Astyanax mexicanus: one gene and its partners. The protein of the gene in region 3 binds, or shares a complex with, the protein of the main gene of each other region. Links are inferred from orthologs where the notes say so. Each region holds a gene or a part of one and is shown on either strand. Other genes may lie near its edges.

Evidence for each region.
Region 1: the proteins of mtor (region 3) and fkbp3 are in contact, whole or in part, in a crystal structure (PDB 5GPG), measured with the Homo sapiens proteins. The link is inferred for Astyanax mexicanus from reciprocal best matches to the Homo sapiens genes MTOR and FKBP3. Residues at the interface, in NP_001373429.1 of Homo sapiens: Glu2032, Tyr2038, Phe2039, Gly2040, Arg2042, Tyr2088, Val2094, Leu2097, Tyr2105, His2106, Arg2109; in NP_002004.1 of Homo sapiens: Lys160, Pro161, Leu162, Ser163, Lys170, Tyr198, Lys201, Gly202, Gln203, Pro204, Asp205, Ala206.
Region 2: the proteins of mtor (region 3) and mlst8 are in contact, whole or in part, in a crystal structure (PDB 4JSV), measured with the Homo sapiens proteins. The link is inferred for Astyanax mexicanus from reciprocal best matches to the Homo sapiens genes MTOR and MLST8. Residues at the interface, in NP_001373429.1 of Homo sapiens: Leu2269, Arg2270, Met2271, Ala2272, Pro2273, Asp2274, His2277, Leu2278, Thr2279, Leu2280, Met2281, Gln2282, Val2284, Glu2285, Val2286, Glu2288, His2289, Asn2292, Asn2293, Glu2536; in NP_001186102.1 of Homo sapiens: Tyr20, His22, Asp42, Ser43, Gln44, Val45, Asn46, Tyr62, Asn87, Glu105, Gln148, Thr174, Arg221, Tyr222, Leu224, Ser268, Arg270, Gly271, Trp272, Trp274, Ser290, Lys313, Val316.
Region 4: mtor (region 3) and mapkap1 share a complex: the UniProt entries of both Homo sapiens proteins name them as parts of the mechanistic target of rapamycin complex. The link is inferred for Astyanax mexicanus from reciprocal best matches to the Homo sapiens genes MTOR and MAPKAP1.

What each region holds. Positions count from the first base shown.
Region 1 is NC_064408.1:73,543,649-73,551,252, reverse strand, and holds the start of fkbp3 (peptidyl-prolyl cis-trans isomerase FKBP3), read left to right. Parts: upstream 1-4,591; 5' UTR 4,592-4,606; coding exon 4,607-4,855; intron 4,856-5,320; coding exon 5,321-5,422; intron 5,423-5,974; coding exon 5,975-6,073; intron 6,074-6,215; coding exon 6,216-6,351; intron 6,352-6,643; coding exon 6,644-6,711; intron 6,712-6,800; coding exon 6,801-6,898; intron 6,899-7,604. UniProt on the Homo sapiens protein: FK506- and rapamycin-binding proteins (FKBPs) constitute a family of receptors for the two immunosuppressants which inhibit T-cell proliferation by arresting two distinct cytoplasmic signal transmission pathways. PPIases accelerate the folding of proteins.
Region 2 is NC_064422.1:24,571,840-24,578,903, reverse strand, and holds the start of mlst8 (target of rapamycin complex subunit lst8), read left to right. Parts: upstream 1-4,057; 5' UTR 4,058-4,198; intron 4,199-4,497; exon of another isoform or gene 4,498-4,540; 5' UTR 4,541-4,548; coding exon 4,549-4,677; intron 4,678-5,624; coding exon 5,625-5,676; intron 5,677-5,765; coding exon 5,766-5,928; intron 5,929-6,012; coding exon 6,013-6,088; intron 6,089-6,233; coding exon 6,234-6,386; intron 6,387-6,498; coding exon 6,499-6,623; intron 6,624-6,719; coding exon 6,720-6,883; intron 6,884-7,064. Other genes in the region: meiob (meiosis-specific with OB domain-containing protein), read left to right, coding at 64-195, 305-377, 941-1,136, 1,222-1,322, 1,404-1,456, 1,543-1,638, 1,752-1,841, 2,109-2,253 and 3 more.
Region 3 is NC_064419.1:17,748,939-17,756,298, forward strand, and holds the start of mtor (serine/threonine-protein kinase mTOR), read left to right. Parts: upstream 1-4,360; 5' UTR 4,361-4,425; intron 4,426-6,136; 5' UTR 6,137-6,168; coding exon 6,169-6,288; intron 6,289-6,482; coding exon 6,483-6,591; intron 6,592-7,360. UniProt on the Homo sapiens protein: Serine/threonine protein kinase which is a central regulator of cellular metabolism, growth and survival in response to hormones, growth factors, nutrients, energy and stress signals.
Region 4 is NC_064408.1:21,740,489-21,748,229, reverse strand, and holds the start of mapkap1 (target of rapamycin complex 2 subunit MAPKAP1), read left to right. Parts: upstream 1-4,734; 5' UTR 4,735-5,067; intron 5,068-7,729; 5' UTR 7,730-7,741. UniProt on the Homo sapiens protein: Component of the mechanistic target of rapamycin complex 2 (mTORC2), which transduces signals from growth factors to pathways involved in proliferation, cytoskeletal organization, lipogenesis and anabolic output.

The DNA of each region.
Region 1 (7,604 bases), on a different chromosome or scaffold from region 3:
CTAGATTCAGTACTTCACGTAATTACTTTGCGTTTGCAGGCACACAGTTTCTTTCATTCAAAATCAACTTCCAAAGCAAAGCAAAAATAAACGATTTCCCCAGCCTGGGCATACACAAGCTAAGTTTTCAGAGGCAAATCCCTGAACATATTACCATATTACAAGTGTTTGCACAAATTTCAAGCCATATGCATGCTAGTAAATCACTTCTAAACAACTTGTGTAAACACCAGAAATCGCCCATAGAAAATTACACTCTGCTCCCTTCAGGTTTGTTTGTAATAGCTTGGTTTAGTCCAAATTTATTATAGACCTGCTGTTCACCTCTAGACCCTGGGGTGTTCGTATTTCTACCTCTTAGTGAACCACATGGTGGTAATTAATTGAGATAATGAATTTTTAATGCTAATTTTCCAACCTCACTTTCTGAAGACTTAAGGAGGGGCTGGCACACAGCAATGCACTCAGCTTCAGAAGCTCAACACTGGCAAGTTGATCGAGTTAGAGTCACGAGGTCAAGGTCAGATGTCGCTGAATCCACACATTGCGTTGTTTTTCTGCAGAACCACTGGAGTATGACAAAATTTGTTCCAAATCTCTTCCAAGGTTCACTGAAGACAGTGACCTGTGTTCCGATAAACTGAACTGGGAAGAAATGCATTTGTTGGAAGATCTGACACGGAACACCAGAAAGCTGCTCCCTGTTCTTTTTCTAGAAGTGTCATCATAAACACTGATGAGTGATTCAGTTTAATGTTCACTCAAGAAAATGAAGATTAGCTCCTCTCACTCTTCAGATGGTGATTCCACAGTAAAAACATTTTTATGAGCTAAAACTTCATGTGTATCTACTGCCCCCAAGTGTTGTGGCCTTGCAACATCATCACAAAACAAGTGGGCTGTACCTTTTTTTCATTTACAATAATCAGAGCAGAGGTGTGACTAGAGACATATTGTGACTGGCATAAGTGTTTGGAGAATTCAAGGCCAGAAGGCCAGATTAAAGTTTTTGAAGATTTTTTTTTTTAAGTTTAAAGACCATCTGAATGGATTATGGTTTAAATATTTCTGATATATAATCTTGAATTGATATTTTTATCTCAAATGTTTTAATATAGTATAAAAACTAAAAAACTAAATAATTTGCCCCACCACATCAGTATGTATATACAATATCAGCCAAGGTGACATTTTGTAAAGGCAGAATTAGGAACAGATTACCTTTAGAATTCAAATTGCCCACTGTAAAATGATTCATCTTTAAAATAAATAAAAAGACATTAAGGTGAAACAATTAAACCACAATGCAATTTTAACACATTTCACTGCATTTCAGTTGCTTACAGCAAACAAAAGGTATGATCATGTACTGCTAGCTTTAATGAGGATCCCCTGGTGAAATTAGTAAAAAAGTGTTCCACTTTTGTAACTTGATGAGGCAGCAGTCCTGCTGGGGGGATTGAATTAAGTAAACCATTACAGAAAGGAAGTGTAAGGGAGTGTAAATTAGGCTTAAGTAAAAATCACAAGGGCAGAGATTTCTCCTATGTGTTTTATTCAAATGTATCCATGAAAATGTCACTTTTTTAGGTATTAAAGCTACGTCACTTGATATATTTTGGAGCAATATATTTAAAATTGAGCCAAACTACACTGAATCTCAAATCACATTTTTATTTTCTTTCCCATCTTTAATGAACCCCTTCCAAAACAACCTCTGCTGATAAAGTACACTTTACAAAACTCTCGCTCGAGATTTCACTGATTAATCACACTCTGGTCCAGTCTGAAGTAACTAGATAGTCAGACAAAAGCTGTATTTTAATGGTGGGCTGCATTGCAAGATCACTACATAATAAAAGGTTGTTGCAAACTGAATTAACCCTTGTACAGCAGGAAATGCATCCTGTGCGATATTTGAAAGACAAGAATTAATATATTTGAGTTAATACATTAGTTTTGGCTCCTTTAAGGTTTTACTTCACTCTGCATCCAGCCTAGTTATGTCATGAGAAAACAGCAGTGTGTAGGTGCATGCAGGCAATTAGCAGTTAGCTTTTATTCAAGGTGATATCACAACTTTTTGAAGTGTATGTCATGATAACTCATATTATAACAATTTTCACAAAACATTAATTCAGCTCAAAGCCCTACAATGTATTCTTCACAGCCAATGTGAAAGGAAATTAAAACATCACAATGAAAAATGGTGGAAAACAAAGTCTCCAAAGAAGATACCATTTTAAAAGTTTTTAATACTATTTATAGTATCAAAATGATATCTGTAAAGAAATGAAAAATAGATGAGTTTCACAAGATGCCTCAGTGTCATTATGTGATGTTTACAGGTAACACTGCCACAAAGCCTCCTTACACTGTAATGTGTTTGAACAAGAGGCTACTGAGAAGAAGTCTTTATAGGCTAGTCATACTAAGGACCTGTGGTACCTCAAGCACAACCTAGGTATGCATACTATAGATCAGTGTTGGTGGACAGGTACCCAACAGCAAACCAATAATGGACCACTGGTGAAATGAACAATGCACTTCTATGCATTGTGTCAGAGAATAGAGAAAACAGCTACAGTTTGGTCTGAAACTAAACCTAATTAGCTTATTACACTTATCAGACAAGTATTAGCATTGCCTGCTAAGCGCTAGCTTTTTGGCCGTTCAGAGGTGAGTAGATCAGAGTGAAGTCTACTGCTAATTAAAATGACAGTTTTGTTTAATTAAGCCTATCATATTGCTCCCCAGCGGAGAGACCTGCTGAATTAAAAGGAAACATGGCAACACTCCTGTTTTAACAAGTGCTGCTTAAAATGCACCCTATAATCCAGTGTTATGTGTCTCCTGCATTCATTTGGAGCACTAGTTGTGCATTTCCTTCTGAAATTAAGGCTAAATATAGTTGCTGTTTGGCCATACGTTTGCATAGATCACCAGGTGTATTGTGAATTAAGCTGTTTACATGGATATGTGCACTAAGACCTCTACATCTACCCATGGCAGAAAATGTCCAAAAAACGAAAAAAGGATGGAGTTGGTGGGTGTTCTGTCCAGCATTCATCAGACGTCTGAGCTGCCCTCTAGTGGAAGCCTCTGGTAACATGTGTAGCACACAGCCAATAACATTAGGAATGCTCTTGGTCATCTACGCAATCACGTCGCCAAACAGCAAGTATTTCTCATACATAGAGTTACCGTATATATGTCAGCCAAGTGTTTGATAAGTAGTTCTGCTAAAAATCATTTATACTTGTATATATTTCATGTGACCTGCAATCAATTAAATTACCGTATTTTTCGCACTGTAAGGCGCAATTAAAATCCTTTACTTTTCCCGAAAATCGTCAGTGCATCTTTTAATTCAGTGCACCTTATGTATGAATTTTACCAGTCAAGTTTACCACTACTCCACTGAAGTACAGCGTTATACAGGAGTCTCAGTTTAGTTCTCTAGCACCAGGACTGGAGCAGTATTATCATTAGCCGCTAATTGCTATGTCCCAGTTTAGAGGTTGGTATTATCTGTCTGTAGCCTGCTCCTAATCCCGACTAGCACTGCTGGAGCAGCATTAGCATTACTGGCTAGCCTTGCTAAGAGCTAGCACTTTAGCCGTTCAAAGGTGGGTATTATCAACCTGTAGCCTGTTTCTAACCCCAGGTAGCACTGCTGGAGCAGCATTAGCCGCTAACCATGCTGCCTCTTTTACTGTTTAGAGGGGAGTATATCAGACTCAATGGCTTACTGGAGCACTCGAGGTTCCTCAGTGTAGTGCTGTCGGGCGGCATTGGCCGCTAATTGCTAGTGGTTAGACGCTAATGTCAATGCTCCAGCCTTAGTGCTTGAGAAATTCAGAAATCTAAGCTTACTGTAAGTTACATTACATTACATTACATTTGGCAGACACTTTTGTCCAAAGTGACTTACAATAGTCAAGTACAAAAGTAATAGAAGTTAAAGATAAAACATTTTTAGATAGGGCTTAAAGGAGGTCGAAGGGAAATAATGGGATAGAGAAGTGAAGGAGGGGAGAAAGAAAATGAGGTTAGAAGTAGTTAGAGGTGTTAGGAGAGTAAGTGCTCTTTGAAGAGCTCTGTCTTCAGGAGTTTTTTTAAAGATAGCGAGAGATTCTCCTGATCTGGTAGTGGAAGGTATTTTGTTCCAAACTAAATAAACAGAAGCGCTTTACTCACCCAAATAAACAGAGACATCTGTGTAGATTAACATCCAGCACTATATAACACTAGCCAGTGTTTGAAGTGATGCGCAGCAGGTGAGAGTGGCCATTGTTCTGACGGGTTGGGCAACCTTGTCAAACCGTGCTACCCTAGTGTATATTTAAAAGTAAAAATACAAAAAGGACCATATTAGAAAATGCTCCCGGAATAGGAAGTGTTGGATGTTGGGATAGGCTAAATTACTGTATCAGGTAAATTTATGGTTATATAACTGTAGGTTTTTTTATAGTTTATTATTATTATTATTATTATTTTTAATTGCCATTTACAGTTTGTAACATTCAAGCAGGTGGTTTGATGCCCCCAAGGAAAACGGATTTATCATAAAAAACATGAAAACATAAAAAATGTGGGTTGGCGCATGCGCAGTGCTGTTGAGAAGCACATATCGATGGGTAGCATAACTCGACAGAACACCGGTCCTGAGGCGCGGAGGGTCATAAAGCGCTCTGATTGGCTGATACGGCCCCACGCGGGGAGTGAGAGGTCGCGAAGTTTGGGGAAAATGGCTGCTGAACCCACACGAGAGTGGAGCGATGAGACACTGAAAGGAGAAGATGTTCCTAAAAAAGATCTGATCAAGTTCATCCAGGACAACGCCTGTCACTCGGTACGCAGCTCTTAGACCCAGACCCGGAAACTCGACTCAGGACCTTAAACTGTGAAGCAGCTCCACCGCAGCCGGATAGCATTAGCTGCTGCTGCATGCTGTCTAATGAGCTACCAGCAGCCCCAGCAGATCCACACTGCTGACTTCATAGCTGACTGAGGAGAGCCCCCTACTGCATTATCCTACTGTAAAAACAATATTACAATCCTGTACTGCTTCAGCATGATATTTCCCCCGAAATAAGAGTTTGTATGGCTAATATTTTTAATGCAGTGTGCAGGTTCTAATGCAGTGGGGAGGTACTAATGCAGTATGCAGGTTTCAATGCAGTTCACAGGTTGCAATGCAGTGGGGAGGTTCTAATGCAGTATGCAGGTTTTAATGCAGTGTGCGGGTTTTAATGCAGTGTGCAGGTTTTAATGCAGTGTGCTGGTTTTAATGCAGCATGTTTCTTTGTGTTTTCAGTTTCTTGCCGAGCACAAGCTTATGGGAAATATTAAGAATGTTGCAAAGACTGCAAAGAAGGAACAGCTCATTGTAGCTTACAACCAGCTCTTCGAAAGTAAGGTAAGCATAATCTACACTTAAAGAGACCAGCTAAGCCATTATTGCTGTGGGCAGTCTGCTGAAATGTGATGAAAGTACATTGAATTTAGCCAGGCAGAACTGTACAAAACCCTTAACACAGCTGTAGAAACGGTTCATTGTATGTTAGAGATGTATTGATCCTTTTAAATGGTCAGTATATATTTCTTGTATATTTATTTACAGACAATCTAAAACCTAAAGCTGCTTATTTAAGTACCATTTTTTTTTTAATTTCTAGATGCAGGGGCAGTTTTATCTAAATTGTCTGCCGAATATTTTTTTAATTGCGAGTTGCATAGAACTGTGAAACCCACAAACACTACAGAGTGGACACTGCAGAATTAAAACATCAAGCAAACAATGAAAAGTACAATTTTATTCTGGATTCCTAATCAGGTAGGGATTATTAAACTTTTTCTTTCCTGTTTTCAGCTTGGTTGTGGCATTTATCTTTTAAAATGTAATTAAGAACTGTATAATGTTTTACTGGCTAAAGATGACCACGCCATCTATTTCTGTTGTCAATTGCAGAGGTTTAAAGGCACAGAAGTGGAGCAAGTGACTGAGGACGTGAAAGCTGTAAAAATTGATGATGCGCCCAAAGAATCAAAGACAGAAGTTGTGGATGAGGTATTGTGCTTGAGCACAAAACATACTGAAATTGTTAAAACACAGATTAACAGAATACTATTAACTGTTACAAAAGGTTAATTGTAATGTAATCATGAACATATTTATTCCTATTATAAGTAGTTGTTTTTTTGCTGAACAGGGTCCCCCCAAGTTCACAAAGGCAGTGCTAAAGAAAGGAGACAAGACCAACTTCCCTAAAAAGGGTGATACAGTAGCATGTTGGTACACTGGCACACTTGAGGATGGCACCGTCTTCGACACCAACATCCCTACAAGTATGCCTTCACAATTTTCCGCAGACATGTATACGTATTATATGCCCAGTCTTAAATTATAAAATTGGGCACCCTGGGTAAAATACATGCATTGTTGACAAGTATAAATAAGTTTCAGCTTAAACACAAACACATTTTCACTGTCTAAAGCATAATTACTGTGTAGTAGCTTGATTTATTATTAAATGTGACATACAGATATTTTTTCAGTTATTGTAAATTCAGAAAATAAATAATTTCCTTGGGAGCATGACAGTGGAAGATTAATAATGGGTCACTATCATCTTTGCAGCTGCAAGAAAGAAGAAACAGTCCAAACCACTGTCTTTTAAAGTCGGGTTGGGCAAAGTTATCAGAGGGGTAAGTTTTTAGTCATTGTGGAAAACGTTTCAATATGTGGATGCTTATCTGATCCATTATACTGATGATATTCTCCAAATCACTTGCAGTGGGATGAAGGTCTCCTGACCATGAGTAAAGGTGAGACTGCACAGTTGGAAATCGAGTCAGAGTGGGCGTACGGTAAAAAAGGGCTTCCTGATTCCAAGTATCCTTTTCTAGATTTTCCATATCTTGAAGAATTACTGTGTATTTAGTGATTTAAAAACATTGCTGTAGTAATCTGCTTTGAATTGCATTTAGAAGGTTCTTCCTAGTGGTGCAGCCATCTAGCTGTCCTGCAATGAATTTTCTGAAACAATCGTTGCAAATAATGAACCAGCTACTTTAATTTTACAAATTAACCAAAGGAATGTCTGTCTTCATCTCTCCCCTTGAAACAGTATGACCTATCAAACCTCACTGATTCAACGCAGTTAAAACTGCAGTAAATCTAAATGTTTAAAGTGTTAAAAATAATATTACACCGGTTCAAATACTTTTTTTTTTTTTTCACTTTGTAAGTTTTCCCCAGTTTTATCATGTGAAACCAAAAATTATAACAATTATTAGTTGTTATACATAATGACTAATATATATATTTTTTTAATCTGCAAACGCAGCTTAAATTAATAAAAAAAAATGAGGACAACCTTTTATCCTATCAGGGCAATTTATTTAATGTGGTCCCATTTAGTCACTTTTTTTATATTTTCTCGGCCCATATTTATTTACTTAATACATCTACGTAATTAATAATGGTGTTTGTGTGCTTTTAGAGTTGCTATATATATATATATATATATATATATATATATATATATATATATATATATATATATATATATATATATATATATATACACATATACATA
Region 2 (7,064 bases), on a different chromosome or scaffold from region 3:
AAATAATTTGCACATTATGGGTCTATATTTATATGTTTTATAAAGCTGTTTTTTATATTCCAGATGTTGGATCTGAACGATTCACTTTCAGCTTTACTATTAAAGACTCCCTAGACCATTGCATTAATGTGTCTTCATGGGGCAAAGAGGATTATGTTCAAGGACTTTGCAGCCGGATCAGAATTGGAGATTGTGGTGAGACACAGCTTGAAATTATTTTAATTGTTCAGTTTTATATTACTGCATATTGCAAGACAGCATGTAACTAAAACTCAGCTTTTATTATTTTTCTTCTTTTGTTCAGTTGTCATTGAGAATCCACTTGTTGTTAACAAAGATCCTGAGAGAGAAGACCGATTCTGTCCTTCAACCTCAAGGTAAAATAATTGGACTATGTATTGGACAGAACATAGCTCATGATACAAGCATGACAATATAATTAGATATTTAAAAATCAAATTATAGGAAAAATGTCACAGTATAATAAACACCATTATTTGTATACCTCTTGAGTTTTTTTTTACTTGAACCAGCATAAAATACACATTTACACACTGCCATAATTCCAGTGTCTCTGCTGTGCTGAGAATGAGTTCATGACCAATGAATAAACAGGATAATAAAGTATGCAGATAATCAGAAAGACTACAACCTGTAATTATAGAACTACAAATTGCTCCCATATGTATAGTGGAGCTGAAAGATTAGCCAGTAGGGGTTCAGATTAGACAGAGAGTATAGAAACAAGGAGGTGGCATAATATATATATTTTTAAAACTATATCATGAATAGTTAATAGTGTATACTCATACATTATTTTCATTATGGTTTATACCTGACACAGAGTGTCACACTGGTGAAAACAGTTTGTAAAGAAACATGCAACAAAAATACCAATATACTTCGTTAAAATATTCAAAACAAATTCATTTGTCCACAGTTTTTACAGATTGCTGGTGACAGAAACTCATTCAGCCATAAGGATGTGTTCAGATTTAGAAACAGAGACCAGGCTCCTGTCTCTTTTCCACATACCAATAAAGGATTCAAGAGACTTCTATTCACTGGGAGACATTACTGCAAATGGGCAAAGCCTCAATGGAAGTTTCATTAACATTCTTGCTGCTGTGCGATCGGTAGGAAACTAACTAACTGTATGGAAATCACTAACTGATAAAACCATATGTTTTGTGTATCAAGCTTTTAATTTCTTTTGTTAAGGTCGGAGAGCAGAAGTTCTTTACTACTTCAGCAGGAAGAAATGGTCAGAGGCTAGAGATAAAGCTGTTTGATGAAACTTTGGCTTCCTTCCCTCTTGTATGGTATTGAATGTCTCTTGTATATCCAGAATATTTTTTTATTTCCTATTTTCATCCTCTTCATACTAATGCCCTATTTCTTAGCTGGGATCGAGAGACAATTCAGCTTCTACAGGCACTAACACCACGAGAGACAGGTAGGGTCATTCGCAGCAGTAAAATCAACATTTTACTGCAGCATTTTTTTGTGACAAGATTAAGAGATGTGTATTTTTACAATTAGTGCTGTTCATCGCGGATGCTCGCACCAGCTTTGATGGATTTCGTAACAGCATGTTGGCAACAGCCACCTCAAAAACAATCATTACCATTAATCCTGGTAAGAATGTGATTGTACCCCAAACTTCTCCAATCAAACTTTCATTCTTAACCAGTGGATGTTCTCGTCTCTGTGAGATTTAATCTTAGTTAATTGTTCTTTTCCATGTATAGATACAACTGAAGCCAACCAGCTGTTTAATTACGCAAGGGAAATATCTGACAGTGGACGACTAGATGAGCAAGAGAGTGATAATGTCCCTTGTATGTATTCATTGCTTTATATCATGTGTCTTGTCTTCCATCTCAAGTTTCTAATTCCAACAGTTAGTTTTCAATATTTACAGCCTTGGCTGGATGAGATTGTCAGCAGGACCTTTCTGTTGATTGCATGGATTAGCTGGGTTTTAGTGGAATTTAAACTGCACTTACTGCTGAAATATTACACTTACTGTACAAACTGTAAACTCAATAAAGGCAGTCTAAGACAAATCTCCAAATTTGAATATATACATCTATTTTATTTCCTAGTGGAATCCATTAATGAGGTGATGACAGTGAAACAAATCAAAGCCAAAATCCAAGACAGCTCAGATGTCTTCCATGGTGTGATCTATGCATTCTTTACAACTCTAGGATTAGATTCCTCCATGTCCAAACTTATTTGCAGCAGGTGGTAAGTATAAAATGCAGATAGCCCAACACAGTCCTGTTCTCTGACACCACATGTTATGTTCACAACATGAATGAACCACTGATCTATTTGTCTTTATGTTTTAGCACCAAATGCAGGTTCCAAGTCAGTGAGGAAATTGGGGCCTGCAGTAACATGGCATGTCCTAGTCAAGGACAACCACTGGAAGCCTCTCTAGACTTCAGCCTGCTGGTTAATATCAGTGATCACACTGGAACACTGAAGGGCTGTTCTCTGACAGGCACAGCTGCTGAGAAAACACTGGGTTGCACAGTAAGTAAAAACAAGCAAATTAAAAATTAAAATCCATTAAAAACGTTTGAGATGAGTTGTAGATGTGCTGGTGTTTTCTCCCTGAATGCAGTCAGATCCTCAAAGCAATTCTTCAAAATGTAGTAGAAAGATTCCTGCACAATTTAGGCAGTTAGGCCAACAAAAGCAGGACAAACCTGGTTTTGGAAAAAACATTGAATGAGCAGCATTCGTAAGGTCAGGATATTGGATGATTACCACCCCACCCTTTAAAAAAATAATTTAATGTTAATTAATTGAGTACAAATGAGTATCTTTATTTAATAAAGGTTATTCCTGCTGTATGAAAAAGAAAGTAAGTTTATGTGAAGTTTATGTGATTTTAAGTGCATGCCAGATAGCAAAAGGTGTCCCAGGTGTTAAGAAAAAACACTGAAATCTTTTTTTATATATAATATGAAAACAGATCATTTCTAAAAGCAAACTTTATTATACTTTTAGTCGGAGGAGTTTATGTGCTTCCCAGAGCCTCATCGAATGACCATGAAGTGGAGATTTCTGCTGGAGAGATGCAAAATTTATCTGAAGGTATAAGATACTATTTAAAAATGTACAGTAAATATTTTGTCATAAGTAGTACCTGTAATTTGATGTACTATATTTATATTTACTCTAGTTAAAATAGTGATATACAATTTGTATTATTGAACCATAAACAAGTTGGATAGTGAATGTTGTGTTATTGTAACTAGAATATCGATCTAGATAGAAATTGAGAAGTTGAGTGAATGTATTATATATTTTTATTAGGTTTTATCGAAGAAAACTGGCACAAGGGCACATATCCTTTCTTGTACACTTGCTGATCCAGTGGAAGTAAAGCAAAGCATGTCAGCCCTGACCATCTGAGTGTGTAACCTGACTGATGGGGAGCAAGGAAAATTAAAACAACAGTTGCAATGTTTTGAGTGAGGGTTCAGATTAAATGCATATTTTGCGTGAAATGAGGAAAGTGTTCAACAAGTGGTGAAATATTTATCATAATTTAGATAATTTATGGATATAGTTTGTGTTATATATTTGTGTATTTATGAAATGTGTTTATTTCACAGTTATACATTTATATATAATTTTACATATTTTCACAGTTATTACATTAATTACATAATTTCACAGTTATTACATTTATATGGATTAATGTAATATTTAGTGTGTAAGTAAAAGGGAGGGATATTTCTCGTATTTAATTTGCTTTTTTGTAAAAAAAAAATACTGTTTTATATTTGTGTTCTCTGTAGAAAAAAAAAAATCACAATGTTATGTTATTATTGTTGGGTTTAATGCTAATAAATATCACATGCTCATGCTCTGTGATTCATATGACACCCTTACTACCACCATCACTGTATTTAGTTAACGAAACCATACTATTTTTTTTTTACTAATAATTGGTAGCTATTTTAAAACTCTATACAGACCCAATAATTTATCTGTAAACGCAGCTGTTGTTGCCCTTGCTCTACTCGGAACTATTGAACGCTCTCAGTGTTTCAGTGGGGATGTTTTTTAGCGGGGAGTCCTTTGGTTGCCCATGTAAATAATGTGGATTTAGCGACTGGATTTTTATTATTATCAGTAATTTATTGAACTCGGAGTGGTCGTGATCTGCTGACAGGTAAGACTGAGTTTTATTCATTAATCTCCTTTAACCCTAAAGTAGATATTTATCTGTCTGTGGTTCATTTACTGCGACCTTCATGCTAACTTTAGCTTCATGCTTCAACCGTTACTCCAGCTAGTGTCTAAATCCTAGCGAAATTCCCACTAAAGCAGAACACATTACGTATATTTGCTTAATTCTCCAGTGTCAGAATCTCTACAGTAAAGGTGTTGTGTTTTTGTAGTGGTGGTGTGTTTTTTTCTGCGGTACGGACACTGACAGAGCTGGCACTGGATGGTGTTTAATATTATCAGTGGTCCGCAGGTCAGGACTGGGTCCACACTGTTCTCTCTGCAGGTCTGATCATGAATGTGAACCAGGGCACGGTCGGCAGTGACCCGGTGATCCTCGCCACCGCTGGATATGATCACACAGTCCGGTTCTGGCAGGCCCACAGCGGCATCTGCACCAGAACCGTCCAGCACCAGGACTCTGTATCCTTTCAGTCTGACAACAACATACTGTATATTAAAACTGTCACCAAATTTATGATTGTGTTTATATGTGAACACGTGTATAATTTGTGTAATAAGCCTGAAATATATATATATATATATATATATATATATATATATATATATATATATATATATATATATATATATATATATATTTTTTTTTTTTTTTTTATTGTAGATTAATATTAAAGACATGAAAACAATTAGGGACACATATGGAATTATGTAGTAAACAAAAACCTGGTGACTCCTTCAAGACGCTGAGAAAATACCAAGAGTGTGCAAATCTGTCATCAAAGCTAAATGTGGCTACTTAGTAAAATCTAAAGAAAATAACATTCACTTTTTGCTCACAGAATAATTAATATTTTCCTGTATAGCTTTAATGTCTTAAAATTTACGATAAAAAAGTCATAAAAAGTAAGAAAACACATGGAATGAGAAGATCAACTGTTCTTGAACTTATACTTAAAATTAAATAATATTGGGCTGATATATTCTGTCTCTGGTTGTGACTATTGTACATGCTTACATTGTGTAGGCAATGCTGAAATGATATATTGTAAAGCCCTGCTTTTAGGCATTTTAAAAACTCTTATCACAGGAAAAACTAATTATCCCTGCAATCAAAGTGTTTTTGGCTTAGACATTTTTGAACTGATGTTAACAAACTTAAATAAAGTAGCAAAAAAATCATTTAAGTCACCTGCAGGATTTAAACTTGCCCAAAACCAAACTAACTTAGTTGACAACCACACATCAATATGGATAGTGTCACTTGTGGTAGCTATTCCAAATAATCAATTCTTGATACTATGTTTTTTTTTTAATATGTCATGATGCTGGGAAAAAATATATATATGTGTATATATATATGTATATATATATTATTTAGTTCATATTTACTTTGACTCCAACATCAGCAGGTAAACTCACTAGAGGTAACGCCAGATAGGAGCATGATTGCAGCAGCTGGTGAGTCATAAATACATACATTTTCAGATTACATCTAATTAACAAATTAGATTGAATAGACGTTTTCATTGTGAGTTTTCTCCCTTCAGGTTATCAGCACATACGCATGTATGACCTAAATTCCAACAATCCGAACCCAGTAATTAATTACGATGGTGTTAGCAAAAATATTACGTCAGTCGGCTTCCATGAGGACGGGAGATGGATGTACACTGGAGGAGAGGACTGCATGGCACGTATTTGGGATCTCAGGTGATACAGAGCTGCTACTGGTTTACACATGAGACATTAAATATAAGTCTTTAATATAACCTGACACTCACTATTTTCACTTAGGTCAAGAAATCTGCAGTGTCAAAGGATCTTCCAGGTCAATGCACCTATTAACTGTGTGTGCCTGCATCCTAACCAAGTAAGAATTATTTAAGTACACTTTGTGTAAATGAAATAACTGAATCTGGTGGTACATTTGCTGGCTTGTGATGGCTTTATCCTCTAGAGGGAGGTAAAGATTTGTTCATTTTTTTATTTGTGTGCATTTTAAATCATTTTTAAAGGCTGAATTGTTTGTTGGGGACCAAAGCGGTGTGATCCACATCTGGGATCTTAAAACAGACCACAATGAGCAGCTCATCCCAGAGCCTGAGGTGTCTGTAAACTCTGTGCACATTGATCCTGATGCTAGCTACATGGCTGCTGTCAACAGTTCGGTCAGTATTTGTTTCGTACTCTATTCTCAGCCACACATTCTGATAATTCTTATTTAACACATCTAGTGGTTTTGGTATTAAAAGCCAAAGTTTATGTTGTTGCCTCCCACAGGGCAACTGTTATGTGTGGAACTTGGCAGGAGGAATTGGTGATGAAGTGACACAGCTTATTCCCAAGACTAAAATCCCTGCTCACAAGCGTTATTCCTTGCGCTGTAAATTTAGTCCAGACTCCACGTAAGAACAGCCCCAATAATAGTATAATAATGTTTTAGCAATACAAATACATGTAGGCCAGTTAATTTGATAAAACTAATTCTAATTCTGTTATAGATTGCTGGCTACATGCTCTGCTGATCAGACTTGTAAGATCTGGAGGACCTCCAACTTCTCACTGATGACAGAGCTGAGCATCAAGAGCAACAACCCTGGAGAGACGTCTCGCGGATGGATGTGGGACTGTGCTTTTTCTGGAGACTCACAGTACATTGTCACTGGTGAGTGAATGGAATACACCAAATAGGTTTTGGTAACAAATAGGACTTGTTGGGTCTGAAAAAACATGCATGTTGGGCTGGGCAATGACTCAAACTTAATGAACAGAACCTCTAACCTTGCCTAGATTAATTATTTTAAGTTTTTAAAATTCTGTTAACATGATGGACGTATTTAAATCCT
Region 3 (7,360 bases):
CAGAGAATTACAGGACAGCAAAATACATTTCCATGACTTTGGGAACACCCCAGGTACTGTAGGTCCAAAACATGGGATGCCTATCCCTATACACACGCCCAACACAATCCCACTGATTCTGCGGTGAATGTGCAGGTAATATATAATTCACAAAGGCTTTTAATGACATTGTGACCATTTATCTGGGCAAACTCTGAGTTTTGTCAGCTTGCAACAATATATATATAGTACCAGTCAAAAGTTTAATGAACAGGTATGAAATTATGTAGTAAACAGTAAAAACTCAGGTGTTGGTTTGGTGGGCATTGAGCTAGAGCTTCACAGCAGGAAGTAAAAGCAGCAACTATAGTTCAGCACCTCCAGGAACTCCTTTAAGATGCTGAGAACTATTCCAGGTGACTCTACCTCATGAAGACACTGAGATTAAAATACCAAGATAGATAATAAAATACCAAGATAATGGAATACAAAAAGTGTGCAGATCTGTCCTTAAATAAATGTTACTGAGAAGAATCTAAAGTATAAAACATATTCTGTATTGATTAGAACTTTTTGTTCGGCATGAGCTCCTGTATAGTTTTAATGTCGATTTTAAATTTACAATGTAAAAAATCATAAAAAGAAGAAATAAACGCATTGAGTGAGAAAAGGCGTGTCCAAACTTTTGACTGGTACTGTAAATATTTGTGTTATTTATTTAGTCATTTATGTGTTTAAGAGTATTTTACAAGGCCTAAGTACGTCGGATTTTTTTTTTATTTCAGAATATGCTTAAGGATGTTGATTACAACACATTTCTATGGTTTTTGGGCGTAATAGTGAATACATGTTCTATATTTGCCAGTGCTGAATTGATGTTTGTGGGCTGTTTAGGGGGAGGAGTCAACAAAGATGTTCTTTTAACTCGTTTAATTTTCGATTTGCAAAGCTCTTTGGGAAGAAAAACTTACAGAACTGGCTCAATCTTTTCTCATATCATGCATTAGTTTGTTTGTTATTCGGTAAGTTTGATGTTTTTTGGGAAACGCACCCTATAGATGCTTGGGGCGGGAACAAGAAAAGTAAATACAGGGAGTTCACAGTAAAAACTGATTGAAAAGCACTTTGAAAGATGATTTTTATTTTTATTTGATTAGATAATTGATTGATGGGTAATGAACAAATTGGAAGATTTTGATATATTAATCATAGCCACATTTTATTATTTAACATTGAATTGTGTTAATATAAGGCATTTTTGTTACTCGTCTTTAAAGGTACAGTAAATTTTTTATACAGATAAGTTTTTTTTTATTCACTCTGTGACTGCTACAGAAGGAAAGACTTTGCCCTCACAACATTCCAATATTAAAGATTCAGACATTTATATTGTTAGGTACACTACCGTTCAAAAGTTTGGGGTCACTCAAACAATTTTGTGTTTTCCATGAAAAGTCACACTTATTCACCACCATACGTTGTGAAATGAATAGAAAATAGAGTCAAGACATTGACAAGGTTAGAAATAATGATTTGTATTTGAAATAACATTGTTTTTACATCAAACTTTGCTTTCATCAAAGAATCCTCCATTTGCAGCAATTACAGCACTGCACACCTTTGGCATTCTAGCTGTTGATTTGTTGAGGTAAGCTGGAGAAATTGCACCCCACGCTTCTAGAAGCAGCTCCCACAAGTTGGATTGGTTGGATGGGCACTTCTGGCGTACCATACGGTCAAGCTGCTCCCACAACAGCTCAATGGGGTTCAGATCTGGTGACTGCGCTGGCCACTCCATTACCAATAGAATACCAGTTGCCTGCTTCTGCTGTAAATAGTTCTTGCACAATTTGGAGGTGTGTTTAGGGTCATTGTCCTGTTGTAGGACGAAATTGGCTCCGATCAGGTGCTGTCCACTGGGTATGGCATGGCATTGCAAAATGGAGTGATAGCCTTCCTTATTCAGAATCCCTTTTACCCTGTACAAATCTCCCACCTTACCAGCACCAAAGCAACCCCAGACCATCACATTACCTCCACCATGCTTAACAGATGGCGTCAGGCATTCTTCCAGCATCTTTTCATTTGTTCTGCGTCTCACAAACGTTCTTCTTTGTGATCCAAACACCTCAAACTTGGATTCATCCTACCACAACACTTTTTTCCAGTCTTCCTCTGTCCAATGTCTGTGTTCTTTTGCCCATCTTAATCTTTTTCTTTTATTAGCCAGTCTCAGATATGGCTTTTTCTTTGCCACTCTGCCCTGAAGCCCAAAATCCTGCAGCCGCCTCTTCACTGTAGATGTTGACACTGGTGTTTTGCGGGTACTATTTAATGAAGATGCCAGTTGGGGACCTGTGAAGCGTCTGTTTCTCAAACTAGAGACTCTAATGTACTTATCTTCTTGCTTAGTTGTGCAACGCGGCCTCCCACTTCTTTTTCTACTCTGGTTAGAGCCTGTTTGTGCTGTCCTCTGAAGGGAGTAGTACACACCGTTGTAGGAAATCTTCAATTTCTTAGCAATTTCTCGCATGGAATAGCCTTCATTTCTAAGAACAAGAATAGACTGTCGAGTTTCAGATGAAAGTTCTCTTTTTCTGGCCATTTTGAGCGTTTAATTAACCCCACAAATGTGATGCTCCAGAAACTCAATCTGCTCAAAGGAAGGTCAGTTTTGTAGCTTCTGTAATGAGCTAGACTGTTTTCAGGTGTGTGAACATGATTGCACAAGGGTTTTCTAATCATCAATTAGCCTTCTGAGCCAATGAGCAAACACATTGTACCATTAGAACACTGGAGTGATAGTTGCTGGAAATGGGCCTCTATACACCTATGTAGATATTGCACCAAAACCAGACATTTGCAGCTAGAATAGTCATTTACCACATTAGCAATGTACAGAGTGTATTTGTTTAAAGTTAGGACTAGTTTAAAGTTATCTTCATTGAAAAGTACAGTGCTTTTCCTTCAAAAATAAGGACGTTTCAATGTGACCCCAAACTTTTGAACGGTAGTGTATATAATTCATTTTCTTATTACAAAAACTACTTATTGCACCTTTAAAGCTCCACTAGGTAGGATGGAGATTTTGTGCTCGTGGGCTCCCCCTACAGTTGTAGAGTGTAATAAATGTTTCAGGTGATTAGTTTCTCTTTCTTGTTTTCACAGACATATTCGGTCTCTTTCCAGCTTGTGCCAGAGTGTGTGTATGTTAGTTTGTAAAGAATTAACCACTAGTCCTTGTAGAACTGTTAGAATTAAAGTTCAGAAAGCAGGTCGCAGTTCTCGGAAAACTTACAGAGTCTGGTTTAAGCTCAGAGGATCCCGGCACAGACACGCACCTCAATGCAGCACTGCAGTGAGTTTCAAGCTGTAATTTTACTTCTTTAAAAAGATGAAAAATCAAGGAAATCCTACCTAGTGCTGCTTTAAGTCACTGTTGCAATCCATTAAAATTAGATTTTATAAAAGCTACTGTTTATGAAACAAATCAGTTCATATACAAATCTATTATTAATTCAAAAGCATTTTTATCAACCCTTTTTTTTACGCTCTGGTGCATAGCGGTCACTACAGTGGAAAGCTGTTTAAATGATATTTTCTCCTAAACGCAGTGATTTCTATGGTGGAATTGCATATCAGCCCTTAGAATGTTCTCTACTGCCCCCTTCCATTGAGGTTCATTCACTGGTTAATTGTTGTAACTACAAGTGAGCATCACTGGAATCCAAGATGGGTGGCAGACAGACATTGTTGACCATTACTGAAATATCCTGTCAATCCTTATATTATAGAAGAACCCTATTTGGTTACCATTCAATAAATTTTGGGTATATCTATAAATTATTATTATTTTTTTTTTTTGCAGATAAGTTGTACTTTGTGTTGATCTTTTTTTGAAAAATATCTTTTTGTCATTTTTGGTTGCAATTCCATTCATTTTAGGCTTGCCACCTTTTCTAGCACACAATGTAATATGTGCTCATGGATGTATAATAAAACTCAGATCGATTCATTCTTCCATTAAGTTTAAACTGTTAATGTTGGGTGCTTAATCGCATGTATTCCACTGTGGTGGTCTGTACATTCCTGAAAAAAAAAAAAAAAAAAAACATTTTTGAGGAAAAAAGACAAAAAAAGAATATTGACTCTACTGATTGACAAGAAAGGCCCTTTGGCTATCTTCATTCTGTCACTGAAAGGAGAATGCTGTGATTGGTTGAATCCATCTCTAGTCCAGCCCTATTTGTGATTAAACAACAAATCCCGAGCGGCTTCCTGTGCGCTGGTCGGTTTTACCGGCTTCTGAATGGCTGATTAATCTGTCACTCATTGCCAAGCCTCAGCCTATTGGTGGACTGGGTCCTGCTAGGTAAAAACCCCGCCCAGTATTCCTCTGCAGCCTTGCGAACAGAACATCTTCAGAGGAGAGAGAACACAGTAAAAGTAAGAGCTGTCTGTCTGTTTTAACCGGTTTAACAGCTGCGGTTTTATCGTGCTTCTGCTTCAGGTTTAATTTAACTGTTACTGAGCTTTAAATTATCTCCGTAAACGGCTTACAGCACAGCTAAGACTAAGACTAAGACTGAGACTGAGACTGACTGGGCTCCAGGCTAACTGTAGCACATTAGGCTAGTCCAGAGTTAGCAGGTTTTCCCGGCTGTGGGAGTTTAAACAGGTCAGGAAAGTGACCGGTAACCGCTTTAACCAGAGCTCAGATATACCCGCTCCCTCTCAGCCGCTGCCGCTTTACACAGTTCAGCCCTTTTTAAGGTTATCTTCAGGCCACAGCATTTAATTTTACATGGCAAGTTTGAGGCTAGCTGGCAGGCTAACTGCTATACCCATAACAATGTGTGCGTGACCCGTGTTACAGCAGAACGCTGCACTGTGTGTATGGTATGGCTATGACAACATTTCTATTTAACACACGTTTAGTTAAGCTACGTTAGCTTAACTACTTAACTCTAGCTGCATTAGTTATGGCTAAAATACGTTTGGGCAAACCACAAAGGTTACAGCATGTGAAGACTTAAAAGTGTCTATCTGTTTAATAAATCGTTCCCTCAATTTAACAGGTTCGTTTTTCTCAAGTTTTAATATTGTCCTTTTCATATACTAAACTGTTTTCTTAATTTAATAAATTGTTCTGTCAGTATAACAAATCCTTCCCTTGATTCATCAATCTGTTTCTCTCAGTTCTAATAAATTGTTTTCTCAGCTAAAATATGTTCCATTAATTCAGTAGGTTAAATAATTCCTTTGATTACAAAATCTCTTCCCTCAGCTGAACTGAAAATCCAGTTCATTCCTCATTATTTTAAAGAAAAGTGGCGGTACAGTGCTTATTTACTATTCGTTTCTATGCATTAGGTATGGCTAAAAAAGCATTATGACAAAACACATAGGTTACATTATAAAGGTACTTACAGTGCTTTCTTTGTTTAATTAATTCTTTCCTAAATTAAGCCATCTGTTTTTCTTATCAATTTAATAAACAATTCTTTCAATTTAGTAAGTTGTTCCTTTAATGTAAAGAATTTCCTAAATTTGATCATTTATTCCCTTAATGTAAAGAAAATAAGAATTCCCTCGATTTAACTATATTTTCCCTCAATTAGATAAACTATTCCCTCAATGTAATAAAGAATGACCTTGATTTAACAATCTGTTCCCTTAATTTAATAAAATGTACCCTAAGCTTAATAATTTGCTCTGTCAATTTAGTAAACGTTTACTCTATTAGCAAAACAAAATCTGCCCCCTTAATTTAATAAGTTCTTCAAGTGTCCCCTCAGAGTCACTGATTTATAAAATTACGTTATTAAATTAAATTCCAGACCAATATATTTAAAGGTATGTTGATCGTTTCATTGCTTTAAAGGTGATATGCATTGGTTTTTCTGAATATTTGAATATGTGTAACGTGTAGATTTCACTGCATTAATTCTCTACCACATACATGGGATCTTGGATCTGCAAATAAGACGAGTATCTTTGGTCAGCAATTTTTCTTTGAGATTTTCATTTAAAGTTATTATAGGCCGAACTATAATTTTGGTGAACGATAAATGGCTGATGGAAAGAACACCTAACCCAAGTTGTTCATACATGCATAACAAACAAAATGTTTCTTCTTGTCTTCCCGTTTTTGCAGAGACCGCAGGTAGCGGTACTTCTGCTGCCAGCATGTCGGGCACAGCTACAGTGCTGCAGCAGTTCGTGAGTGGCCTCAAGAGTCGGAATGAGGACACAAGGGCCAAAGCTGCTAAAGACCTCCAGCATTATGTCACTACAGAGCTGAGAGAAGTATGGAACAGTATAAATGCAACTGTTGCTTAAAAGTCTGTTGTTGCGAATAATGAAAGCAAAATGGGGGTAAAATATGAGGCGATGTGTAATGTTTTGGCTACACTAGCATATTTGTTTTGTAGAATTCTGTTGAAATTGGTCTAAGCTATCGTATACTAACCCTCGTCACCTCTGTGTTCTTTACATTAAAGTTAAGCCAAGATGAAGCCACCACTTTCTATGATGAGCTGAATCACCACATATTTGAGCTGGTCTCCAGCTCTGATGTAAATGAGAAAAAGGGCGGTATTCTTGCTATTGGTGAGTATGACTTCATTCTTTTGACAATCCATTGCACTTAGTACAGTGTTATGCACAGTTTATGGACACTCATCTCATACAGGAATATTATTGCTATGTTGGTCAGTCAGTTATTTACTTTAACTGTTATTTTCTCATGCAGATTGAGTGTACAACATATATGTATTGTACATTTCACATTTGGTGACAACAGAAGCTTTCAGAATTACAAATACAGGGTAGAGAAAGACCGATAAATCTGTTTGGGGACGATTTCATTTATCGATTGTCTTTCAGCTCAATATCAATCTTTAGCTGGGCCAAATGCCACATTAATACCGCTGAGAAGCCAGGCAAACTTGGTACAGATTCCCCTGATTATGGCCACCTCTAAGCAAACATTGGAAATACAACCTGACTGTAAATAAATGGATTTATATGTGCATAAAATAGTTTTAGTTTTATATTTGTTTTTGTTTACTTAGACACCAATTCTGCAGGAATGGGTATCCTAACATGCCTGTTTTCTGGCGTTATCTTACTTCTTAAAATAACCTACATTTACTGTAAAAAAATATAACTAAAAATCTGAATATGATTGTTTTAGCTTTTTGACTCCTGCAGCTGCTGTACTTCTGCAGCGTTTGGTGGTGTGTGTGGTTAGCTAGTTAGCTCTGCTACTCACTGATTTGGCTGTAATATTACTGTGGAGAGCGGTATTATCCGGTTAGTGGAGTTAACATCTTTATTCTGTTCCACCACGAGGCACGTTAGTCCTACACATATAAAC
Region 4 (7,741 bases), on a different chromosome or scaffold from region 3:
CAATGCTGATTTATTTTAAAAGTATAGGCACCTCCTGCATAGATGACAGTTTTGCACATCTTGGGTGGATTTTCTCAGTCAGTTTTATGAGGTAGAGTCACCTGAAATTCAGGCTTTCAGTTAACAGCTGTGCTGAACCTTTCAGGAGTTAATTATTAGAATTTCTTGTCCTCTTAAAGTGTTTGAGAGCATCAGTTGTAAAGTTGTGAAGAGGTAGAGTTGGTATGCAGTATTTGATTAATGTTTTAATCCATATTATATCAAGAAAAAACTAAAGTATCCTCTAGTGCAGTCACAAAGATCATCAAAAATGTTATGATGAAACTGGCTCTAATCAGGACTGCCACAGGAAAGGAAGAGCAAGAGTTATCTCTGTGGCACAGGATAAGTTCATCAGAGTTACCAGCCTTAGCAACCACAAGTTAACAGCACCCCAGATAAGAACTGTAAATGTGAACCTCCTGGCTTAACAATGCCTAATCCCATGATTGAGTACGTGGTTAGAAGGGTATAAAGCCCTCAAGCATTGAATGATGGTGCTCCATCCAAAACATCTGGGATAATTTTGGGGAGTTGAAGATGAGTTGGAATCAGGTTGAGATCATCCAAGGTACTGACCTCACTAAAGCTCTAGTCACTGAATTCAACAAAATCATCACAGCAATATTAAAAAATATATATATAATAGAAATCCTTCCCTGGACAGTAGAGAGTAGAGGCAATCCAACAAAAGCATGAAAAAACTCTTTTTATAAACTTACGATTTCAGAACAAACAATCAATTAGCAAGTGCCAAATTTCATAGGACTAGTTCTGTACCTCTTTACTTTAGCCATGTCCTATGGAAGCTAAAGAACACTGCACTGACCTGAAGCATATACAGCTCTGGAAAACATAGAGAGACTGCTTCAGTTTCGGAATCAGTTTCTCTGATTTTGCTACTTATAATTATATGTTTGAGTAAAATGAACATTGTTGTTTTATTCTATAAACTACGAACAACATTTCTCCCAAATTCCAAGTAAAAATATTGTAATTTGGAGCATGTATATGCAGAAAATTTGAAATGGCTGAAATAACAAAAAAGATGCAGTGCTTTCAGACCTAAATTCAAAATAATGCAAAGAAAATAAGTTCATATTCATAAAGTTCTAAGATTTCAGAAATCAATAATTGGTGGAATAACCCTGGATTTTAATCACAGTTTTAATGCATCTTGGCATTTTCTCCTCCACCAGTTTTACACACTGCTTTTGGATAATTTTATGCCACTTCTGTTGCAAAAATTCAAGCAGTTCACATTGGTTTATATTTTGATTATATTCCTGAGGTTTTTAAATGTGGTAAAATAGAAGAAACTCATCATTTTTAAGTGGGCTCTTATTTTTTACCATTCTAGCCAGACTTCGCTGGTCCCTTGTTACACATGTGACCATATACCATATTTGCAATATAAAATATTGCACTACTGTTATATACTATTTATACTGTCATTCCATCTCAATCACCACCAATATTGCACTATTGTCTTCCGTCTTCCGTATGTTTATTGTGTCTTGTTGTATTGTACATATAATGTCTCTTTTATATTATATATCTATTTCTTTTTTTTACTTATATTTATATATCTATTTCTCCCCCACACCACTGCACCTTGTTTTTGTCTCATGTATGTATATTTGTGTCCCTGCTGTATTGTACCCATAGTGTCTCCCATTCTCTTTTATTATATCTATTATCTGTACTTGCTGTAAAATTGGGAAGGAGAGTAACATCATTTCAATTCTTTGTATGTAGTGTACATATGCAGTATTGACAATAAAACTACTTGACTTGACTTGACACTGATTTCTTGTTTAAAAAATCAAAAACAGCAAACAGGTTGCTATTTCATAATGGTGTTTAAAATGAATATTGAATAAACAATGTTACACTGACCTATCCATCCTCCCACAAGCACACTGGTCAGTGTTCAACCTCACTTACAAGATGAGACCTCACAACTTATACAAATATATATACATTATGCCCATCACATGATTTTTGGCATGCCAGTTTATACAGGACCCTGCTCTATTTCCGTTATACAGGAATACATCTAATAGTTTTATTTGTCTGAGTCGGAGTGAGATCAGTTGGAAATATCTGAGACAAGTTTGTGATCAAAGTGAAAAACAGGCTGTTTCTCAAGAGCCGACCAGAAAAAGAAATTGTCCCCCACTGATTTAAAACAGGAGTTAACAAAATCTGGGAGGAGTAAATCAGATTAAGAGGAGCTCCTCATTTGGAACCATTCTTTCCTCTGGGAATATTTACTGTGTTAAACGGTGTAAATGAGATCTGCAGAAGCCGGCTCAGATAAAGCTGAACTCAGCTGGAGTTCACAGTGGAGAGATCTAACAGCATTAAGATATCATAAATGTACTCACCACTGTGTCACACCAGTGTAGTGTTGAGAGTGTGTATAGAGTGATATTGTCCTCTGAGCAGCTCCTGAGCAGGGTAATATATTTTATACTCACTGCCAGGAAACATCTGATCAGTACAGGTCTGAGAAGATCACACAAGAAACAAACCTAAGGATGCAATTTATTGTAGTTCTACACTTGAATGATTGTACCTCCAATTCTATATTTTACAGGATTATTTTAGACATTTGACACAATACTTGGGTATTTGTTTTATTAGAAACATTTATTCAAATAAATATCCAAGAGAAAACAATACCTCATCCTAATTACTCTTTACACCTGAGAGACAAAATTAGATTTTCCTCTTTTTCTCGTGTTATTGAGTTAAGTTTCCAAGCATTTAATCATATTGTTTCTACTTAAAAAAACACAAAGAACATCAGATCATTGCAAAATGACATTGTTCATAAAAAAAGCTATTTATCCTGGTGTAATATTAATCTACAATTCATCAGTCACAAAATAAATAATAAATAAATGTCCACGATTTCTGACTTTCACTGAATGATAGTGTGGCTCCACAATATATTTTTTAATTGCAGAACGTATTGCTTCTGACTTTTCCACCCCTGCCACCAAACACAGCCCTCTCGAAACCTATTCCACCTGTTCCACCCTCACAATAACTGCCTTCACAAGTTTTTGATGAACTGAATGAGGACTGTTAGGTTTGGACTGGACATAAAGCATGGTGATGGTAGTTCCTCTGCGGGTGAATTGGTGATATAGAAAACTATGATGTAACACACAGTAGTGAGAAGCCCTCAAAAAGCACATATCTAATCAGAAATATGTCTAAAAGCCCACAGTTTATGATCAGACCAGAACATAGCAGACTTAGCTAAAGAAGTTTATTAAAATAGAGTTAAATAATTATTTTTCTGTGAATATATTTTATTTTTTTATGCATATAACACTATTCAGGCTTTTTGTTCGGATTAGAAATAACATATTTGATATATTAATACAGATCTGTCAAACAGTCAAACAGACAATCTGTAAAATAAACCTGACCCATCACAAATGTCACTTGTAATCCAGACACATGAGCCTGTGCAAGGCGCTGTAGTAGCTTAAAGCAACAGCACCCTCTGCTGTCCATTCAGCGGCTCTACAGATGAGGCGAGTTCAAAAGTAACCATGGGAAGTAAAAAAAAAAATTATATGCTTTCACATAATATCTTTCAATTCATGTAATATCTGTTTTTGAAGTCAATTGTAAGATTTGCCAGGACTAACCATGATTTTCAAACTCAGTTTTTGAGTTTTTAACATCCAAATAATAATTATGGAACATTACATGGAACATTATTCCTGCCTTGTATTTAGCCTGTTTTGTGGTCTAAACAGTTTATATGTGTATATTTTCTGTTATTATTTAAATATTAGGGAATAATAAAACAAAAATAGCTAAATAAATGCAATGACTTATTTCAGCCATCATAGGAAATCTTGACTGTGAAACAAAATTGTATGCACATATGCAAAACTATCAAAATAAAGTGAATAATTTAAGTTAATAAATGTAAAAATATGATTGTTTACTTCAAATGATTTAAATTATTTTAAAAGAGATTTAATTTAGGTTTTAATGGGGATTTAATGGGTGCCATTTGTTTAATAACTGTAGGTGGAGAACATGCAAGGATGCAAAAAACTGTGATTAAAAACCAGGGTTATTCTACCAAATATTGATTTCTGAATTTCTGAAAATTTTATGAATATGAACTTGTTTTCTTTGCATTATTTGAGGTCTGAAAGCTCTGCATCTTTTTTGTTATTACAGCCATTTCTAATTTTCTGCAAATGCTCTAAATGACAATATTTTTATTTGGAATTTGGGAGAAATGTTGTCTGTAGTTTATAGAATAAAGCAACAACGTTCATTTTACTCAAACATTTACCTATAAATAGCAAAATCAGAGAAACATATTCAGAAACTGACGTGGTCTCTTATTTTCCAAGAGCTGCATACATTTTAGACAGCTATCAGTGTTGAGAGAGTAGTGTTGAGTAGCTACCAGTTAAAACTTTGGACACTGAATATGTTTTTTTAATTTCTTTATTTCATGTATTTTCTACATTGTATATTAATATTAAAGAAATGAAAAAGGTGTTTGTCCTCCACAGTCTCTGGACCTAAACATAACTGAGATGGGTGATTTATGATGAGCTGGACATTGGAATGAGCATAAAATGAAAGAAAACATCAAATGAGAAGTGGAGCCCACGTGCAGCACTGTTACATCACTATCAGCAGCAGTGCAGTGCAGCAAGCTTACTGTACACTTCAGTAGTGTGTAGTGAAGTAGCTACAGTACAGTACAGTACAGTAGGGTGGGCTTTTCTCGTGCTCCCCAGAGGGCGTTCCTGCGCGTCTCGTTGATGCATTACACTTCCTGTACGAGGGTAAACTTGACGGAAATAGCTAGCCCCTACCATTAGCTGTGATAACAACAGAGGAAATGCTGTATTATTACTGAGAGTATATGATACACATGAGAGGCGATGGGACGAGGCGTTTAGCAGCTATGGCTGTACTCCTGCTGTTACAGAGTGTGGATATATTCAGCAGTCGGTCTGGGAATGCATGAAGGTAATCTACGTTAGCTAACATTGGTTTGTTTAGCTAGCTAACTGGCTAGCTAGCTAGGCTTGGTCAGTAGACAAGTAGCTAGCTAGATAGGCTTGCCAAATAGCGTTAGACCAAGCCCTGTTATCTAGAAGCTAGCTAGCAATCCTAGCTAGCTAGTGGCTGTGTTTTAAGCTGTAACTAGGCAGCCATAGCTAACATTTGTTTACCAAAAAATGTCAGCAATTTTAGTAGCTAGCTAGCTAGCTAGATTAGCTAATCTAGTGGCTTTGTGTGAGCGTGTTCCTCTTCTAAATATGGGTAAATAAGCTAACTAATCCAGGTCCACAGAGTAACGTTAAGTTAAGTTACATGGGTTACCTACGCTACAAAAACATCCCAGGACTTTGTTAATAGATACCCTTACCTACCTTTTGGTTAGTTAACTACAACTTACTGGGCGGTTCTGCTGGAGGCTTGGTGTAAATAACCTAGCTAGCTAGCAGCTGTTATTTAACGTGATTAGCAGGGTTAAGTTAGTTAACCCTAACCATGTAACTAATGTGTTGTGTAGCTAACATATATGTTTATCTGTAGTTATATGCAGTTAGCTAGCTAGTTAACCTTTACCCCAAAAGAAACTTAGCTGCCAAATCCATGTCAAAAGTAGCTAAAACTCCTGTAAGCTATAACAGCTAGGTTACCAGCTGCCTCAACTGTACACAGTCATCCAGGCAGTTGGTATCTAGCTAGCAATGCTGGGTCAGTACACAAGTTAATATAGCTACCGTTAGCTAGCTAGTTTGCTAAATAGCATAAGACCAAGCCCTGTTAACTTAAAACTAGCATTAGCTAACCTAGCTAGGTTAGCTAGTAGCTGTGTTTTAAGCCGTAACTAGGCAGCCATAGCTAACATTTGTTTACAAAAAAAGATGAACTAGCTAACTAGCTCATCTAGTGGCTTGGCTTGGTGTAGGCTTGATGTAGATAAAATAGCGTTGTTTGCTAGCAGTTGTTATTTAACGCTAGCGTGGGTTAACTTAGTTAACCCTATCTTTCTAACCAGTGTGTTGTTTAGCTGTATATCTAGTTATCTAGCTAGTTAACCTTAAGTTTTGAGTGAAGTAGCTAAAACTCCTTCCCAGGATTTTGTAAGCTAACTAGCTAGGTTACCAGCTGCCTCAACTATACACAGAGTTATTCAGGCAGTTAGTAGTTAGTTAAGTTAGATAGTTAGTTATCTAGGTACAAAACCCTTTGTTTGCTTTCTACTTCCTCGGCCTGGTCTTCTAAACACCCCGATAAGCTAGCTAACTAACTCTAGCTAACCACCCAGCGCTAGCACAGTCTCACATCTTGCTATTTGTCCCAAAGCTAGCTAACTTACCCGCATTAGCTCGCTACATTTGTTTGTGTGCATGTTGGACCTGTAGGTTAAAAAAGTTGAGGGGACGTTCAGCTGGGAAACTGGACAAACGTGTAGATCAAACGTTAACACACACCAACTGATGAGTTCAGTTAGCTACATTCAGTTTCACATTCAGCTGTTTGCCTAGTAGCTAGTTAGCAAAGCTAGCTAGCCAGCCTGCTGTTTTAGCTTTCTAATCTTAGCAGTATTAGGAACAAGGCTAAAAAAACTGTTAATAAAGACAATAACGTTAAATGTAATAAAAATACAAAATAAAGATAGCCAGCTAACCACTGGGCTCTTAGTTAAAGCAAGCCTGTGAACTTGCATATGTATTTTAAGCTAACAGCTGCTAGCTAGGCTAGCTAACGCTTGTTGTCATGTTGTCTCTGGGCGTGAGCTGTTGTAAGAGTGCATCATCTGTTGTGTGCACATTTTCCAAGTTTTAGTTAAACAAGTTTTAATAATTAATTAATATTTGTTTGCTTTCAAAACTGAATTATTGGGTTATGAATGTTTATAATAATTATATTAATATATATTGACTCCAAAATATGCTCTTATTCTGGCTTGCTAGTTCTGGATGATATTTTGCCTCAGAAATTTGGGCTGTGTCTATCAGTTTTTAAGTTATGCTTGAAGTGTGCATTTGTTTTTTGGCAGTGATGTAAAAGTACTGTAATGCTGCTTTATTTTTTGTAGTTCAACAAGTGCCAGTTACCTGCATTGTATTCTATTCTATTTTGAGTGCTTTGCATTGTTTATAACAAACTATGGTTGTGATTCAGTGCTAGAAGTGTTGGATTTCTGTTTTTAGCATCTGAAAACCAGAAGTTGACTTGACCTTTAAGGTTATCTGATCTGACCTTTCACAACCTTTGTAAAAAGTGTGGAGTAATACAATGGAATGTTCATAAGCCTTAGCTCCCCAAATCGCTTGGCTAAAGTTTTTCTAAAGTATTATAATGACAACTCTTGTGTCATGTATTCTTGAAGAAGAACAAACTTGGCATCACTTGAGCATTAAGATAATGATCCTTTGACATTTTGAACACAGATCATAATAGAATATGACAAGCTTCTTTGTTAATAATGCACATTTAATAATGGCTAGGGGTAAGTGTCTACCAATAGGTATGATGCCCATCTTCATACTTTTTTTTTTCTTTTTTTTTTTATAAAGCAGCTAGTGTCGGATGACCCGAACTAAAATTGGGCATTTATAATAAGTATGAACATTTCATAAAATTAAATGTTGAATATTTTTCTTTTTCGCAGGCAGGCACACAT